2 linked regions of the Canis lupus familiaris genome follow. The protein of the gene in region 1 purifies or fractionates together with the protein of each later gene. This does not show direct contact. Links are inferred from orthologs where the notes say so. Each region holds a gene or a part of one and is shown on either strand. Other genes may lie near its edges.

Region 1 (7,801 bases):
ACAAAGCTGAGCCCAAAGTCACATGGAGGGGAAGTCGGCTAGAAGAAAATCCATTGTCACCCCCGGACCCTGGTAAGAGTCAGGAATCAGGGGCCGAAGCGCCCACTCTGAAAGCAGGACTTAAGGGTGAGGCTGAAAATAGGAAGACTGATTGAACAGCTAGATACCAAGACACCTCCAATTCAGTAGTTTTTCCCATCCTTGACTCCTTTCTCTCAACCTCCATCTTCCAATCTGGTTGGCACTCTACCTTCAAATACAGGCAGAAAAATCTGCATCCCTCACCTCTAAGAGGCCATCTCCCACCACTTACTCCCTCCATTCCCACGCCCCCTTGCTTTTACTAGACACATAGGTGCACACCTACTCTAGGCCTGGGCCTAGGCTGTCCTCACTTCTGGAAGCACTCTCCAGATATCTTCACAACCACTCTCTCCCTGCCTTCATACCTCCTGCTCACATGCCGCCTTCTCTGACTGCTCCCCATCTCCCTTGGCCTGTTTTTTTCCTCCAGTGCTTTTCCTCACCTGATGTTTTACCATATATTTGCTTACCCCTGTCACCCCTATGGAAGTATCAGCTCTTCCTGGGCATGGATTTGTCTCTTCCATTCACTGAAGTATCCCCAGAGCTTAGAACAGTGCCCAGAACATGGTGGGTAATCAAAATGTGTTGAACAAATAAATGTAGAACGGAGAAACCAAACTGAAGACCTCAGCAAAGAACAGGAAGACAGAATCATTACTACCATTCAGTAGATTACAGCAAAACAACCTTGGATGGGTGGTCTCATTGCTCCCAGAAAGGGGAACGGAATACACGGAATCTTTACATGTCAAAATCTTCAGCAGATCCAACCCGGAAAGAGTGCCCATCTCTTCCCCAATGCTAAGAAGCAGATCATGTCATCTGTGCTCACCAGCACCTGCTCAGAGGCTGGCACATCACCGGGGCTCAATAAATGTTTGCTGAGGAACTGGAGAAAGCAGACAGCAATAGAGAAGAGGAAACAAAAAGAAGGACTGGTGTAGCACTGATACTGAAAAGTGTGGGTGGTCTCAGGCCAGGGAGAAAGGAAGAGTCCACACTATGGAACACCTTGGAAGCCAAAGCTTTTAACCCGAAAGCTGGAGGGTGGGGGGTGGGGACCCTTGAAGTAAATTTGCACAGGCAAGTGACTGATTCAGAACTCAGAATGAAGAGCCAGCCGTGGGAATAGCTGAAGGACAGAGGTATCAGGCAAAGTACAACCAAGATGCAAGTGTGGCTCAGCAATGATGGGGTAGTTAGAAATCAGGCTGGAGAGGCACCTGGGTGGTTCAGGTGGTTAAGGTTCTGCCTTGGCTCACGTCATGATCTCGGGGTCCTGGGATGGAGCCCATGCATTGGGCTTCCTGCTTAGTGGGGAATCTGCCGCTCCCTCTCCATCTGCCGTTCCCCCTGCTTGTGCTCTCTCCCCCTCTCAAATAAATAAATAAAATCTTAAAAGAAATCAATCAATCAACCAACCAGTCAGGCTGGAGCCATATAAGGTAGGGGCTTTCAATTCTCATCCCCAAATTAGAGACAGATCTTTGACCCAGAAAAAGATAAAGATCCATGCTTTGGTGGCAGATGGAAACTACCTTTCCTTCCCAAAAAAACCTGACTCCTAGATATCCTTACAGGCAAGGAGAGGTCTTACTCATCTGCATAGCCTCATTATATCTAAAAAGCTCAAAATTATTTGCTAAATGAAGTAAATCAGAAACCCAGAGGAAAAAAAAAAAGAAAGAAAGAAAAAAGAAAAGAAACCCAGAGAAAGAAAATTTTAAAAAAAGAGGTCTACTAACAAAGTGGTGAGGGCAGAGAACTTTTGTTCATGGCACCACTATTTATCACTAAAAATAGTACTCAGGAGAGACATCAGTGAGTATTAGAAAAATATAGTATTATGGCTTTATGACCCCAGAAAGGAGTGGGTCCAAAAGCAGAATGAGGTACTGGGGAAAAAGCTTGACATTTTAGACTGAGCTGTTCTAACAGGATGTATGAAAGACCTTGGGTAGGTCATCTCCTCTGGTCTTCAGATCCCTGAAACAAACTAAGGGAACCAGACTGACTATTCACCAAAGAATTTCTGGGTGAGTTCCAACTCTCTGTGTAGCTTTACTTTCTCATGTGTCCACCATTCCTATCAACAGGCACAGCCAAGATGCCCGTGAGTGATCTGCTAAATGAATGAAGACCAACTTCTCATCTTACAAGACTGGAAACTGGGGCCTGGTTAGATGGCAGCTCAGGGACAGAAAGCTAGTTAGTGGCAGTGTGTGGGGAGGCCCTGGGACTCCTGGGTTCTTCAGCAGAGGTAGGAACAGATGAAGGAAACCGGAGAGAGGTGGGAGGAGATGGGCACTTTGCTGGAGAAGTGGAGGTGGTGGTGGAGGTGATAGAGGTGGTGGGAATGTTTGCTGGAGGTGGAGGTGGAGGTGGTAGAGGTGGAGGTGGTGGTGGAGATGGTGGAGGTGGTGGAGGTGGTGGTGGAGGAGGAGGTGGAGGAGGTGGTGGAGGTGGTAGTGGAGGAGGTGGAGGAGGAGGAGGAGGAGGTGGAGGTGGAGGTGGTGGAGGTGGAGGTGGTGGAGGTGGAGGTGGAGGTGGTGGAGGTGGAGGTGGTGGAGGTGGAGGTGGTGCTGTTCCAGCTGAGAGCTCCTGGAATCCAAGGGGCACCAGACTGGGCGGTGATCAGGACTGCGGCAGCTCGAACCCCAGCTCCAGGGCCGACGGGGTCCGGTGCCTCAGGCGTAGTAGGCGCTCGGTAGATGCACCCGTGGGTGGCACGTTGAGCACTCCTGTACAGCGCGTGCGGAGGAAAACGCGCGACGTGTGGTCAAAAGCGGTAGTAAAAACAATAAATCCCCAATTACAAGCCAGAGAAAGCGGGCTGAGCACTTCCCGTGCCCCCCCCAGTTTACAAGGCTCCCACGTGCCGATCCTACGGAGGTCCGGGTTCGAGGCTCAGAGTGACCTTGGACCAGCCTCATTCCTCCCGGTCTCCGTCCTCTCATTTGCAAGGCGGAGGTGGCGGCCCCACCGCCAGGCCCTCCCAAGGGTCCCGAAGAGGGGGCCCCGGGCCGCGCCTGCAGCCGCCCGCGCCCGCAATGGGGTCGCGGGACGCCGGGGCCTGCACGGCCGCGGGGGGGCAGCCCCGCATGTCCCCTGCAGGCCCTCGTAGGCCGGTCTCCATGGCAGCCCGACCTCCCTACCTTCCTGCCGGCAGTAGGCCATGGCTGCAGCCCCGGGGCTCAGACCTGGCGGCGGTAGCGGTGGTGGCGGCACAGGCGGCAGCGGGCTCACGCGGTGACCTCTTCTTAGGCAGGGCGGGCGGCGCCGAGGCCCACGCGGACCCGCCCCCTCCAGGCCTGCCCGCCGCGCGCCTGCCTCCGCGCCCTCCCAGCCCCAGCCCGGCCCCTCTCAGCCGGGAACTACATTCCCCAGGGATCCGCGCGCGGCTCGGGGCGCTGAGGCAGTAGGAACTACATATCCCTTCATGACTTGCGGTGCGCAGGCGCATCAGTGAGGTCCGCGGCGCGTTGCAGCGTGGTGGCTACGGCGCCTGCCCCGGAACTACATATTCCAGGAGGCCTTGCGGCGCGCTGGAGCGGGAGGGCGGTGGCTCGCGGGCCGGTGACTGCTGCGCGTCCTCCCTGATTCTGGGGTTCACGCGAATTCTCGCAGCTCCGGAGCAGGCGGGAGGCCGCCGGGCTCTGCCCGCAGGCGGCCAGCCCCTCCCGTAGCCGAGCAGAGCGAGGGCGAGCGCCCGGCCGGGTCGCAGGATGGCCGCGAACGTGAGTGTCTCCCGGTCCGCCGGACCCCGCAGGCTTCCCCGCTCCTCGTAGCGGCCGCCGGGGTCCGGCTTGGCGGCCTGGCGCCCTCTGCGGGGCCTTGTCCGGCCGTCCGGGCCGCGCGTTTGCGGGGCGGGGGTCTCAGGAGACGCGGTGGGTGCGCGTCGGGGTCTGTGCCAGGGCCCCTCCCGCAGCCCCTGCGTCGCTCTGGGTTCCCGCCTGGGCCCTTGCGCTCCTCCTGCAGGGGCTGCGGGGGCCGGCGCGACCTCCGAGGAGCCAGGGAAGCCGGGACCGCCCGGGCGGGCCCCATCTGCGGACGGACGGACTGCGGTGTGCGGGCGGCGGTGGGATGCCGCGGGAGGGTGCGGGCGGGAGTGCGCGGAGGACCGGGAGCAGGCGGACCCGCGGCCCGGCCCTTGTGCCCTCGGTGTGTTTGGCTGGAGGGGCCCTGGCCGAAGGTGGTTCCCTGCAGAGGCCTCCTGCCGTGTCTCCCCGCAGCCAGCCTGCCTCGGGGACTTCGCGATGTACGCCCAGCATTCATTCAACAAACCGAGCAGCGCCTCCCACCAGGGTGCTGGGTGTGGGAAGGCTGGTGACTCACCACTCCCCTCCTCTGTGCAAGTGCTTCTGGAGCCAGCCCTGGTGCCCTGCCAGCCCCAGGACACTCCCTCCCTCCTGCTTTGCTGGAGTGGCCTAGCCACTGTCCCCTGGCCTGTTACACCCTCTTTCCAGCCTCTCTAATGTCCCCGAGGGTCCTCCCTGCCCTCCACGCCCCTGGAGAGGCAGGGTTTGTATCACCCACAGCCCTAGGACGCTCCACCTCAGCCAGAGTTGTCTGGGAGACCTAGAAGTCGTGAATGCTGCGCCTAGGAAAGCCTCAGGGGTGGCCCAAGACCCAGGGGCTGCCAGGGGAGAGGACAGTCAGGAGACCAGCCTGCCCCCAGAGGTAGACCCCTGTCTGCCCTCATACAATATTTTACAGATTGAGGATTTGCCCACTAGGCAGGCACTTGCCTGGGGTCTCACAGCCTGCGTGGCCAGCTACTGCATGGGAAGATGCTGAAGAGCGCGGGCTTTGGAGTCAGGCCGACCTGGGAGCAAATCCAGTTTCTTCCTCTGAGAAGCTGTGTGGCCTTAATCACTCTGGGCCGGTGTTTCTTCGTGGGACCTGTTAGTGTGAAGTTTAAGGGAGTCAGCCTGTGACTAGCACAGTGCCTGGTGCAGAGAGGGTGCTTACTTAATGCATGAAAAAAAAAAATCTAGGTTCACAGTCTGCCGCAGATGGCCCTGGTGAGCAGAGACTCTCTTGGGTGTACTGGCACCTGACCTTTGCCAAGGAATGTGTATGAATGTGGGTATCTTCTGCAGCCAAACCTTTGTTGAGTCATCCAGGCACGTTTACAGGAGCCACCAGGCCTGGTGAGGAAGAAAGATCTGAAGGTGGTGGGGTGGTGCAAGGAGGTGGCATGATTTCTTCATCGATGTAACAACAAAACTGCCCTGTGACAGAGGTTCTGTGAACCATCTCCATTTTATAAGTGAGCAAATAGGATCAGAAGGTTAGATAGCAAGTAATACAGGGTAATTTTCAGGGCCTGTGTGTAACCTCTGTTCCATCACTCATTGCTCTTGCTCAGGAGCCTAGAGTGCTCACTGAGGACATGCATATGTATTCAGCACATATCAAGGAGCCAACATCAAGATAAGGGGCTCAGAGGTGGCCTTGAAGGGGGAGAAGAGAGGCACTGGGAAATAGAGTGGGTAGTGAGCTGTGGGTGGAGGAAATCTCTATGATCCTCCATCCCAAGACCATCCATGTTTACTGGATTTTGTTTTGGAATGTGGGCTGAGTGTGTCATGTCAGTGCTCACCTTGCCTGAGCTGCACCCTCCTGTGCCTCTCTTTCTTCCCTTCAAGGTCTTCCATGAGCCGCTCTCCTTGATGTGGCTCCTAGATGTATGCTGAGGGGAGGCCCAGAGTTCTGGAAGTCATGCCCTCTGGCTTCCCAGTTGGGGGCTGCACTGCTAATAGCAGGATGGACTCCCTTTCCTGACACTCTCTGCTGCTGGCTCCCAGCATTCGGCTCTCCTTATAGCCCAAGAAGTGAGGAATGTGGCTTGGAGCACAGTGGTAGAAGAGTGGCCTCTGGTCTGTCCAGATATGAAACCTAATTATCCCTCTTAGAGGCTGGGTGATCTGGGCTGGTGACTTAACTGATAAGCCTTGCTTTTCTCAGCTCTGAAATGGGATAGCGATAGCTTGCCAGTGACTGGCCTGTGATAGACTGGCGTAGTGCCTTCGTCATCATTATGATGGTGGATGGCCACCTACCTGCCTGCAGTGAACCGCTCTATTAACCGTTTCCCAATGGAATTGGAAGTTAGACCATTTCTGAGTGTAATGAACATCTGGTCCCTGCGGGCCTGGGCTGGAGCATTGGGGGACAGTCAGAGATTATGGCATCAGCCTTATTTGGGCAGAGGCTGACCTGAATCTCTCCTCTGGTCCCCCGTGCCAGGTGCTTGGCTCACTCCAAGTGCGCATCTCAGAACCACTGTCCACCTTTGTGACTTCTGTCAGCTTACCCCCAGCCGTGGCACCAGTCTCGGGTGCCCGTTACAGAGAAAGCTGGGAGCATTCCCACCAGCTAGCACCTGTACATTCCATCTTGTGTCCTGGGCACTGAGCTGCCTGATAATTAAGTCCTTTGGTTCTCACCACAACCCTGTGTACTGGATTTTCATCCCATTTTACTGCTGAGGAGATGGAGGGCATAAGAGGGATAATTGCTCACCCAAGGTCTCATAGCCTGAATACAGACCCAGCACTCTGGCTCCAGGATCCCTTGACGATGATACTCAGTCAGCAGTGGACACACCTCAGACCATGCTTCTGTTATCAGCTGGATAAAACCTGACCCACTGACTCTGGAGATTGAGGCCTACCACAAACCCACCTGTGTCTGGTTGCCCTCCTCTCCCTCCACCCTGTGCCTCCCCAAACCCAGCCAGAGCTCTGCTCCCAGAACTACTTCCTGCTTCCTCACCATTGCTCAAACAGATCCCCCTCCGAGGGATGCTTTACGCCAGGGTCTGCCTCTGAGATCCCAATCAAACGCCCCCTCCTCTGGGGAGCCTGCTGAGATCCCCAGCTGGAAGGGGTCACCCATTTAGCCCTGGATCTGCTCCTCACCAAACACTCAGCATGGCCTAGTACCGTGCATGCCTGCAACTCACTGGCCCTGCAGCCTATCTTCCCTTCCCTCACTCCTAGAAGACCCAGCACGGCCCTTGGGAAGCTGAGCCACCGTGTGTTGAATTGAATGAATAACACATGCCTAGTTATGGCTTTGTACAACGGTTTGACAGTTTCATAAAAACACACCTCTTCCCTATGATTCAGCAATCTCACCCCTCTGTGGGTATTCCTTACCTAGTACCCAAGGAAATGAAAGCCCTATGTCTTCACAGAAACTTCTCCAAAAACGTTCATAGAAGCATTGTTCATGATAGCTAAGAACTGGAAGTAACCAAAATACCCACCCACTGGTGAATGAGTTGACAAACGTGGTATACTCATAGGTGCAGCGCTACTCGGCCGCATACAGGAGTGAGCTACTGATACACACCACAGGGTAGATGACCCTCCTCAGAATCTGGACAGAAAGAGTTTGTGGTGTGTGATGGCCCCATTTGTTCCATAAGAGGTCACCTCATCTATAATGATACAAATTCAAATCGTTGTTAACACTAGGGAGTGGGAGAGGAGAGTATTGGCAGGAAAGAGGCACAAAGTAACTTTCTGGGATGATAGGAACAATCCCTATCTTGATCTGGATGCTGGTCAAATGGAGTAAGCATTTGTCAAAGCCTATCAAACCAGATGCTTAATATCTGCATTTTTACTGTATGTAATCGAAACTCGAACCATATGAACAAATAGCAAAATAACAAAATTCAGTTTATTTTTTAAAAAACTAA
Region 2 (7,316 bases), on another chromosome or scaffold:
TGAGTGAAGCCAGTTTATATAAGTTGGTTAGCATTTTTTTCTCTTTTTCTATAAAACTGCCTAATTTTAGAAGGTGCTTAGTGAATGCTCAAGAAATATACCCAAGATTTGTTCTTTTGACAATCATCCTTTGTTCTGGTCTTCCAAATATGAGATGGCCTGAGTGCTATTTTAATATGAAAATGTTGTCCTTTATGCTTACTGAAATATGAATAGTTTTTTGTTTAATAGTCTTTGTCCTTTTGTCTTTCAGGAACTCTTTCCAGTTAATAGGCAGAGCGTGGATCATTTTGCTAAATACTTCACTGACGCAGGCCTAAAGGAGCTTTCCGACTTCCTCCGAGTCCAGCAGTCCCTGGGCACCAGGAAGGAGCTGCAGAAGGAGCTCCAGGAGCGTCTTTCTCAGGAATGCCCAATCAAGGAGGTAGGAAACCATCGGCTTGTATCACTGCAAAACACATGAATGGGAGCAGTAACATCATGTGGCACAGACTTGACCTTCCTGAAGGAGACTTCCTTTTTTACTTCTGTGAATTTTATGTATTTGTTTATACCATTTAAACTAGCATAATTGCAAAGTTTTGATTCAGAATCCTCTAGCATGTTCCAGAAATTGATGGTCATTTCCACGCAAGTGATTTATTTTATCAGGCTACTGTGATTAGCCGAATAGTTCATCTGTTAAATAGAGTTGCCATATACACCATTACATATACACCATATACATATGGTGTAAGGTAATATACATATACACCATTATATATACACCATATATACACCATTATATACACCATATACACCATTATAGAGTGGGTTTTCCATTTTATCGCAGATATTATAATATGGCTAAGTATATGGTTAGTATTTGAAATCAACACTGGGGGATCCCTGGGTGGCGCAGTGGTTTGGCGCCTGCCTTTGGCCCAGGGCGCGATCCTGGAGACCCGGGATCGAATCCCACATCGGGCTCCCGGTGCATGGAGCCTGCTTCTCCCTCTGCCTGTGTCTCTGCCTCTCTCTCTCTCTCTCTCTCTCTCTCTCTGTGACTATCATAAATAAATTTTTAAAAAATTTTTTAAAAAATTGAAATCAACACTGGGTATTTCAGGGATCACTGGGTATGAATATGTAGGGGGTTTTTTTATTTTAAGACAAAAAATTTTGATGGTTTTTTAATTTATATCTTGGGAAAAGAGCAGTTGGGCCAGTGGCTTATTTGATCATACTCGCAATAGCTGTGTATCCCTGTAAATGTAAATACTACCTTTTTTTATAATGGTAGTTTGTATAACTGTGACTATATATTTTTAATTTTTAAAAAATTTACCATCTGGGACACCTGGGTGGCTCAACGGTTGAGCCTGTACCTTTGACTCAGGGCATGATCCCGAGATCGAGTCCCTGCATGGAGCCTGCTTCTCCCTTTGCCTGTGTCTCTGCCTCTCTGTGTGTGTGTCTCTCGTGAATAAATAAATAAAATCTTAAAAAAAAAAAAAAAAAAAACTCCCATCTGCAGAAAACCTCCTATCTGAACTTTAACAGTTTTTACATGATAATCCAAAATTAAATCAAGTCCTTTCCTTTTGCCATTCACTTCCAAGTCCCAAATGCTTAGCGCTCTGTGCTCTAAGCCCCACCCGGTACCTTATGTGGCTGGAGAATTCTGGACCAATGCTATCCAGCAGATGGAGGTGTTGTGACAAAAATATTTCTAAGTCTCACGGCATTAAGGTCAGTAATGTATTCAGGAACATTTCTCCAAGTAAGAACTTGAACATGACTTTTCGATGGAGGAAAAAAAAGCAAAACCAACATCATAACACTGATGCTTCTGGATGCAAGGATGTCACCTATCTTGGCAGCTTCCTCCAGCCAGCTCAGGCACTGGGACCTCCCAGTCCCCTCTCTTCTCTAAGGCCACTTAACCCATTTATGACACCAGCCAGGAGGAAAGAAAACTATGATATTCACTGATAAGTGGGGACCAGGCCCGAGAGTTGTGCTATTCACAAAGCAGTAGTATACTTGATAGAGATTATGGTGTTTCATCACTGTCTTTATGATTATATTTCAAAAGGGAAAAGACTTTTCTAAACAAGTTTGATTAAGCTAGGCAGACCTTTTATTCCAGGCCATCTGATTGGAGGATAAATTTGCATATTTAAACATGATTCTAAGGGAGAAAATAACCTGTCTGTTGTTGTTGGATTAATATGTATCATATTAAAAAAATTGCCTCTGCACTTTACAGTTTATTCACATGGGGAATCAGGGTCATCAGAAATAATCATTAAGGAATAAATTATAGTGAATGGACTTGCACAAACCCAAGACATCATTCATCAACGGGTTTAAAGTTGAGAGTTGAGGATCGGAGGAAAAGAGTCCCGGCTCCATCCCCTTGTTTGAAACCCCATGAGAGAATCAAATTGGCCCACGTAATCTGCTCTGCCGGACCCAAGGGGGGTTGCTGCATGTAAAAGAATTAACTCCTAAGGAACAAAGATTCCCTCTTATTTCTTACTACCCAGCAACTCCTGGCCAGAGCTGAGCCTATTAATTTTTGGACTAAAAATAAATCTGCTTCGAGAACACATCATTGTGTTTTTCCTCCCTCTTGTCCTCTGAGAATATGTCCCAGGAAAAGAGGGACTGAGCAGAATATTTATCCACCCAAAACCTTTTACTGACCAGGCACAGTGAGAGGGAGCCTCCTATCTGCCTGTTCCTCTTTGACCCCTTCCTCCCTGAAATGTAGGTGGTGCTCTACGTCAAAGAAGAAATGAAGAGGAATGATCTTCCAGAGACAGCAGTGATTGGACTTCTGTGGACCTGTATAATGAATGCTGTTGAATGGAACAAGAAGGAAGAACTGGTTGCGGAGCAGGCCCTTAAGCACCTGAAGGTACAGACTCAAGAGGGCACAGTCGTGGCTGTAGACCTATGGCAGCTGTCAACTCTACATTTGACACATGGGTTCTAACTGCACTTCACCCAGGTTTAGGCCAAAGATAGATGTCCATTTTTTTTCTTTGATTCTGTTGTTGTTGTGGGTTTATTTTGTTTTGTTTTGATTTCAAATTTGCCATTATCTAAAATGTCTCAGAGGTAAGGGCCTATGAAATATCAAAGAGTAAATTCTTACTAAACACAATGTCGGGGGCACCTTGGTGGCTCCATTAGTTAAGCGTCTGCCTTTGGCTCAGGTCATGACCCCAGAGTCTTGGGATCAAGCTCCGTGTCGGGCTTCCTGTTTAGTGGGGAGTTTCCTTCTTCCTCTCCCTCTGCCCCTCCTCCTGCTTATGCTCTCTTGATCTCAAATAAATAAATAAATAACCTTAAAAAAATAATGTCAGAAATGTCAGAAAATTCACAGAATAATCATATTCAGTATTTAAAGAAAAATATGGCCTATTGTTTTGTTTTTGTTTTTGTTTTTTTTCTTTCTACATGACAAAAATTCTTGGTAATTTTAAGTAGACTACTGATTGGCATTAGAATTTGAGAAGTGTCTGATTGGTCGGAAGTCAATTCATTGTGTAAATTGCATGTTTTTTTCATGGATACATGTTTTTGCTTGTTTACTCCCTATAAACCTATATTAAGATGAGTGAAAGACTTAGATCCTTCCTTCAGAGTTTACATTTGAACTAGTAAGTCAAAAACTACCTAGTAGAAATTAGGTAGAATGTAAATTAAAGAACTCTCAGGGTTTAGAACAGAGCAGTGAGTAAAATCTGCAGGTTAACTTGATCCGGGAGGGCTCCTTGGAGGAAATTTGTGAATGGGGTTAGTTAGGTCTTAAGAAAAAACGGTGGCTATACATCAGGGACCGGAAACCAGGGACAATTGGGACAAAGGAGCAATATGAACAAAATGAACAAAACCACAAAGATGACCTGTGAGGGGGGTCCGGGATGTATGGAAAAGAAAACTCCACACTCCACCAATACCGAATGTGGCCACTCCAAGACCTCACTCTATTTTCTTTTTATAGTGCCCAGTAGATGACGTAGTACATGGCCTTTAATAAAGTCAGAATTTCATATTTGATCTCTTCTTCTTTTAGTGGGTGCTGTGAAGAAATCTGATATGACGCTAAGATAAAAGATAAATTCTGATTGGACACTGTTATAATCCTAAAAATAAATGCTTTCTAAGCAAATCCCCCAGATTCCAGCTGTGATTCAAGTATTGTTGGCCCTGTACTTCCCATGAAAATTAATGGTTGGTCTTATTCCCCACTTCTGTTCCAGCAATATGCTCCACTGCTGGCTGTGTTTAGTTCCCAGGGCCAGTCAGAACTGATCCTCCTCCAGAAGGTTCAAGAATACTGTTACGACAACATCCATTTCATGAAAGCTTTTCAGAAGATCGTGGTTCTCTTTTATAAAGGTATCTGTCCATGTTACTCTACAACGTTTCCATGTTTTGTTGAAGCTCTTTGAGGCCCAGCACAGGGTTGGGGGAGGCAAAGGGGGAAATGGGGTTCATGCTAATTTTTGCAAGTTTTAGTGAGGCAACCATATTATGTGAAAAGAGAAAGTGCAAATGCCATATAGGCATGATTAGGCCCCTGGGCCCATTGCCAGAAGGCTGATGATAAACTGGTTATTATTTTGGGTGGGGAGGGATGGTGAAAAAGACTGTACTAACAAAAAGTAATGAGGTCTGCTTTTGAATTTTAAGGATTAGCTCTAATAACAGTGACTACTGAGGGCTGCCTGTAGTATATTCAGACCTGCTCAGATGCTAAAAAGCTGACTAAAATTACTGAAATAATTAGCTTTTTACTTTGTATTTTAATTATCTGGTCCAGCCATTCTCCTGTTCTTCATGGAAATGATTATTTTTAGAATTTACACTTTACTGTCTTTTCATTGTATTTGGAAGGATTAAGTTGTCATGACAACTAGCACTGCCTTTAATAAGTGAACACTATTAGAATGTTAACTGATCTCATTTTCTATACCTGTAGTATACAAAAAATGATCCTGGGCTATTCTTTGGTCTGAGTTCACATAGTTTTATGGGGGGAAGAAGGAGCACTTAAGAAATGATACACTTTGAACATTATAAAATGATTAACATCAACTAAATGTTTCTTTTCCTTTCTATGCGTTTTTAAATTTGTCTATTTTGAATGATAATTTGGACATGTGGAGTGTAAGAATTTTATATTATTGATTAATAGCTATTTTTAAAATAGCATTTCACAGAGTTCTAATTATCCAGATTCTTCGATGCACATATCTTGGCTACAAGTGTTTGGGTAATATTTTACTTTCTCAGCATGAGGGTATTCAGCACAATTTTTATATCAGTAGGAGTATGTGCTTACACGTCCCATTTGAAGTTCAGTACTTGGTGTGTTTCTCTGGCCAGATCTGAATTAGGTCCTCTTGGACATGGTGTCAGGAGATATTGACGTCCTAAAACTAGGGCTTAGAGGATGCCCAAGGTGACCCATCAGAACCCAACCTGAGGGTCATATGGCTACCCACCTGCGGTACCCAGTAGCCAAGAAAGAGAAACCGTGCACACCCAGCCCGTGGCCACTCTGTCCACACTAACCATTGCTCACTTCACTGTAAGCTGGTAGAGAGAGACCTCTGAGACAGGTTTCACATTTGCTTTGTGAGTGGCCAGGATTATCCCCTACAGAAAAGCAAACTGTTTGTAAACTACTAGCCTAAGCACACAGTTTACTTTCTTGTCACTTAAGAGCTAACCCAACTGAAGCGAACTGGGGGTGGTGGAAGGGGAGGTGGGCGGGGGGTGGTGGGGGTGACTGGGTGATGGGCACTGAGGTGGGCACTTGACGGGATGAGCACTGGGTGTTATTCTGGGTGTTGGCAAATTGAACACCAATAAAAAATGAATTTATATTTAAAAAAAAAGCTAACCCAACTAACCAAATCTTTTTGTAACAGAGACATACTGTTTGAGCCTTATCTGCAGGAGCACTTCATTTTATTAATGAACTTGATTTTCACACACACACACACACACACACACACACACACACACATATACACGTACTACTCTGTCAGTAATGGCATCTATTAAAATTCTTTTTCAGATTTCTCATTTTAACCATTAATGTCAACATTCTTTCCCACTGTACTCCTTATAACATCTATTGACAACAAAACTGGATGCTTTGAGTGATTTCTTATTCTTCATCTCCACATGCAAAAAAACAGAGACCTGGAATTACAAAATTAACAGAGAAGTGGATACCAAGAAGAAAAAAAAAAAAAGCAATAGCTCTTCCTAAGGCCATTAATTAACTAGGTGGTCAGGTTTTAAGTAGTTAAAAGTCAGGTCTGTGGAAAGTATGAGCGAACCCAAGGGAACACAGGAAGGTGTCAACGTCAGTTTTATTATGGCTTAGTTATTTTCGTGAATGAAATCAGGAAACCATAAAATGGAAACCGAAAATACATCACTGAGGAATGAAAACTAAGTGTTATTTCCTAGGTAGTTTCATAATTTCCCACAAAATTATACAGATAGGCTATTATACTGGATGAAATAATTAGATTTTTTTTTTTCCTCTTGGAAACATGGAATCCCCGAGGAATGATCTTTCCACCCTACTATTAAGAGTTAGTGTTTACCTTCTTACCTTTTTTTGGATAGTGGTTTTTTATTCGACCTAATTTTATCCAACAAACATCTGTGCACCAGGAAATGTACATTTTTTGTTTTACGAGGACTTGGATATTCTTATTCTGTATTTCATATGCCTCGAAATGCTTCAGGAATAGTGTGTATGTATTAAAGCACTCTCTTCCCCAGTGCTACTGTGCATATGAATCACCTAGAGAGCTTATTAAAACAGATTCCCCAGAGATTCTGGTTCAGAAGGTCCAAGTTCAGGCCCAACAAATTTGCATTTTAACACATTTCCAGGTGATGCTGTGACTGTTGGTCAGGACCAGTGGTCTAAAGAGTTACAAAATGCCAGAACTGACAAATTCTATGAACTATAAGAACATGCATGCTCCAAGATTATACTTCTGTTTAATTCCATGTACACACACACATTCAACAAATACCAAATAGTATCTCTTTTGCTTCTTTTATGTAGTAATGTGGATTCCCTTTATTTATTGTAAGGAATATTTTGCTTTAAAGCAGGTTTTTAAAAATGTAATAGAAATAAATAATTTCTCCTGTCACTTTTAATCTCTCTCTGTTAATATACACACATACCTTCCCTTTATTTCTAGAATGTTTCTAGAATGTGAGGATAACAGACACTTGGGGGTATGATTTGCCCTGTCTCCTTGACAAACTTAATTATTTTT

The links. The genes of interacting proteins can lie anywhere in the genome.
Region 2: the proteins of TMEM43 (region 1) and BZW2 purify together in Homo sapiens (affinity purification with mass spectrometry; 3 studies listed by BioGRID and IntAct, counting the BioPlex papers as one, with this or other methods). This does not show direct contact. The link is inferred for Canis lupus familiaris from reciprocal best matches to the Homo sapiens genes TMEM43 and BZW2.

Annotation. Positions count from the first base shown.
Region 1 is NC_049241.1:4,305,750-4,313,550, forward strand, and holds the start of TMEM43 (transmembrane protein 43), read left to right. Parts: upstream 1-3,615; 5' UTR 3,616-3,812; coding exon 3,813-3,824; intron 3,825-7,801. Other genes in the region: CHCHD4 (mitochondrial intermembrane space import and assembly protein 40), read right to left, coding at 3,243-3,264. UniProt on the Homo sapiens protein: May have an important role in maintaining nuclear envelope structure by organizing protein complexes at the inner nuclear membrane. Required for retaining emerin at the inner nuclear membrane.
Region 2 is NC_049235.1:31,252,329-31,259,644, forward strand, and holds part of BZW2 (basic leucine zipper and W2 domain-containing protein 2), read left to right. Parts: intron 1-253; coding exon 254-424; intron 425-2,758; coding exon 2,759-2,905; intron 2,906-4,256; coding exon 4,257-4,395; intron 4,396-7,316. UniProt on the Homo sapiens protein: Translation initiation regulator which represses non-AUG initiated translation and repeat-associated non-AUG (RAN) initiated translation by acting as a competitive inhibitor of eukaryotic translation initiation factor 5 (EIF5) function.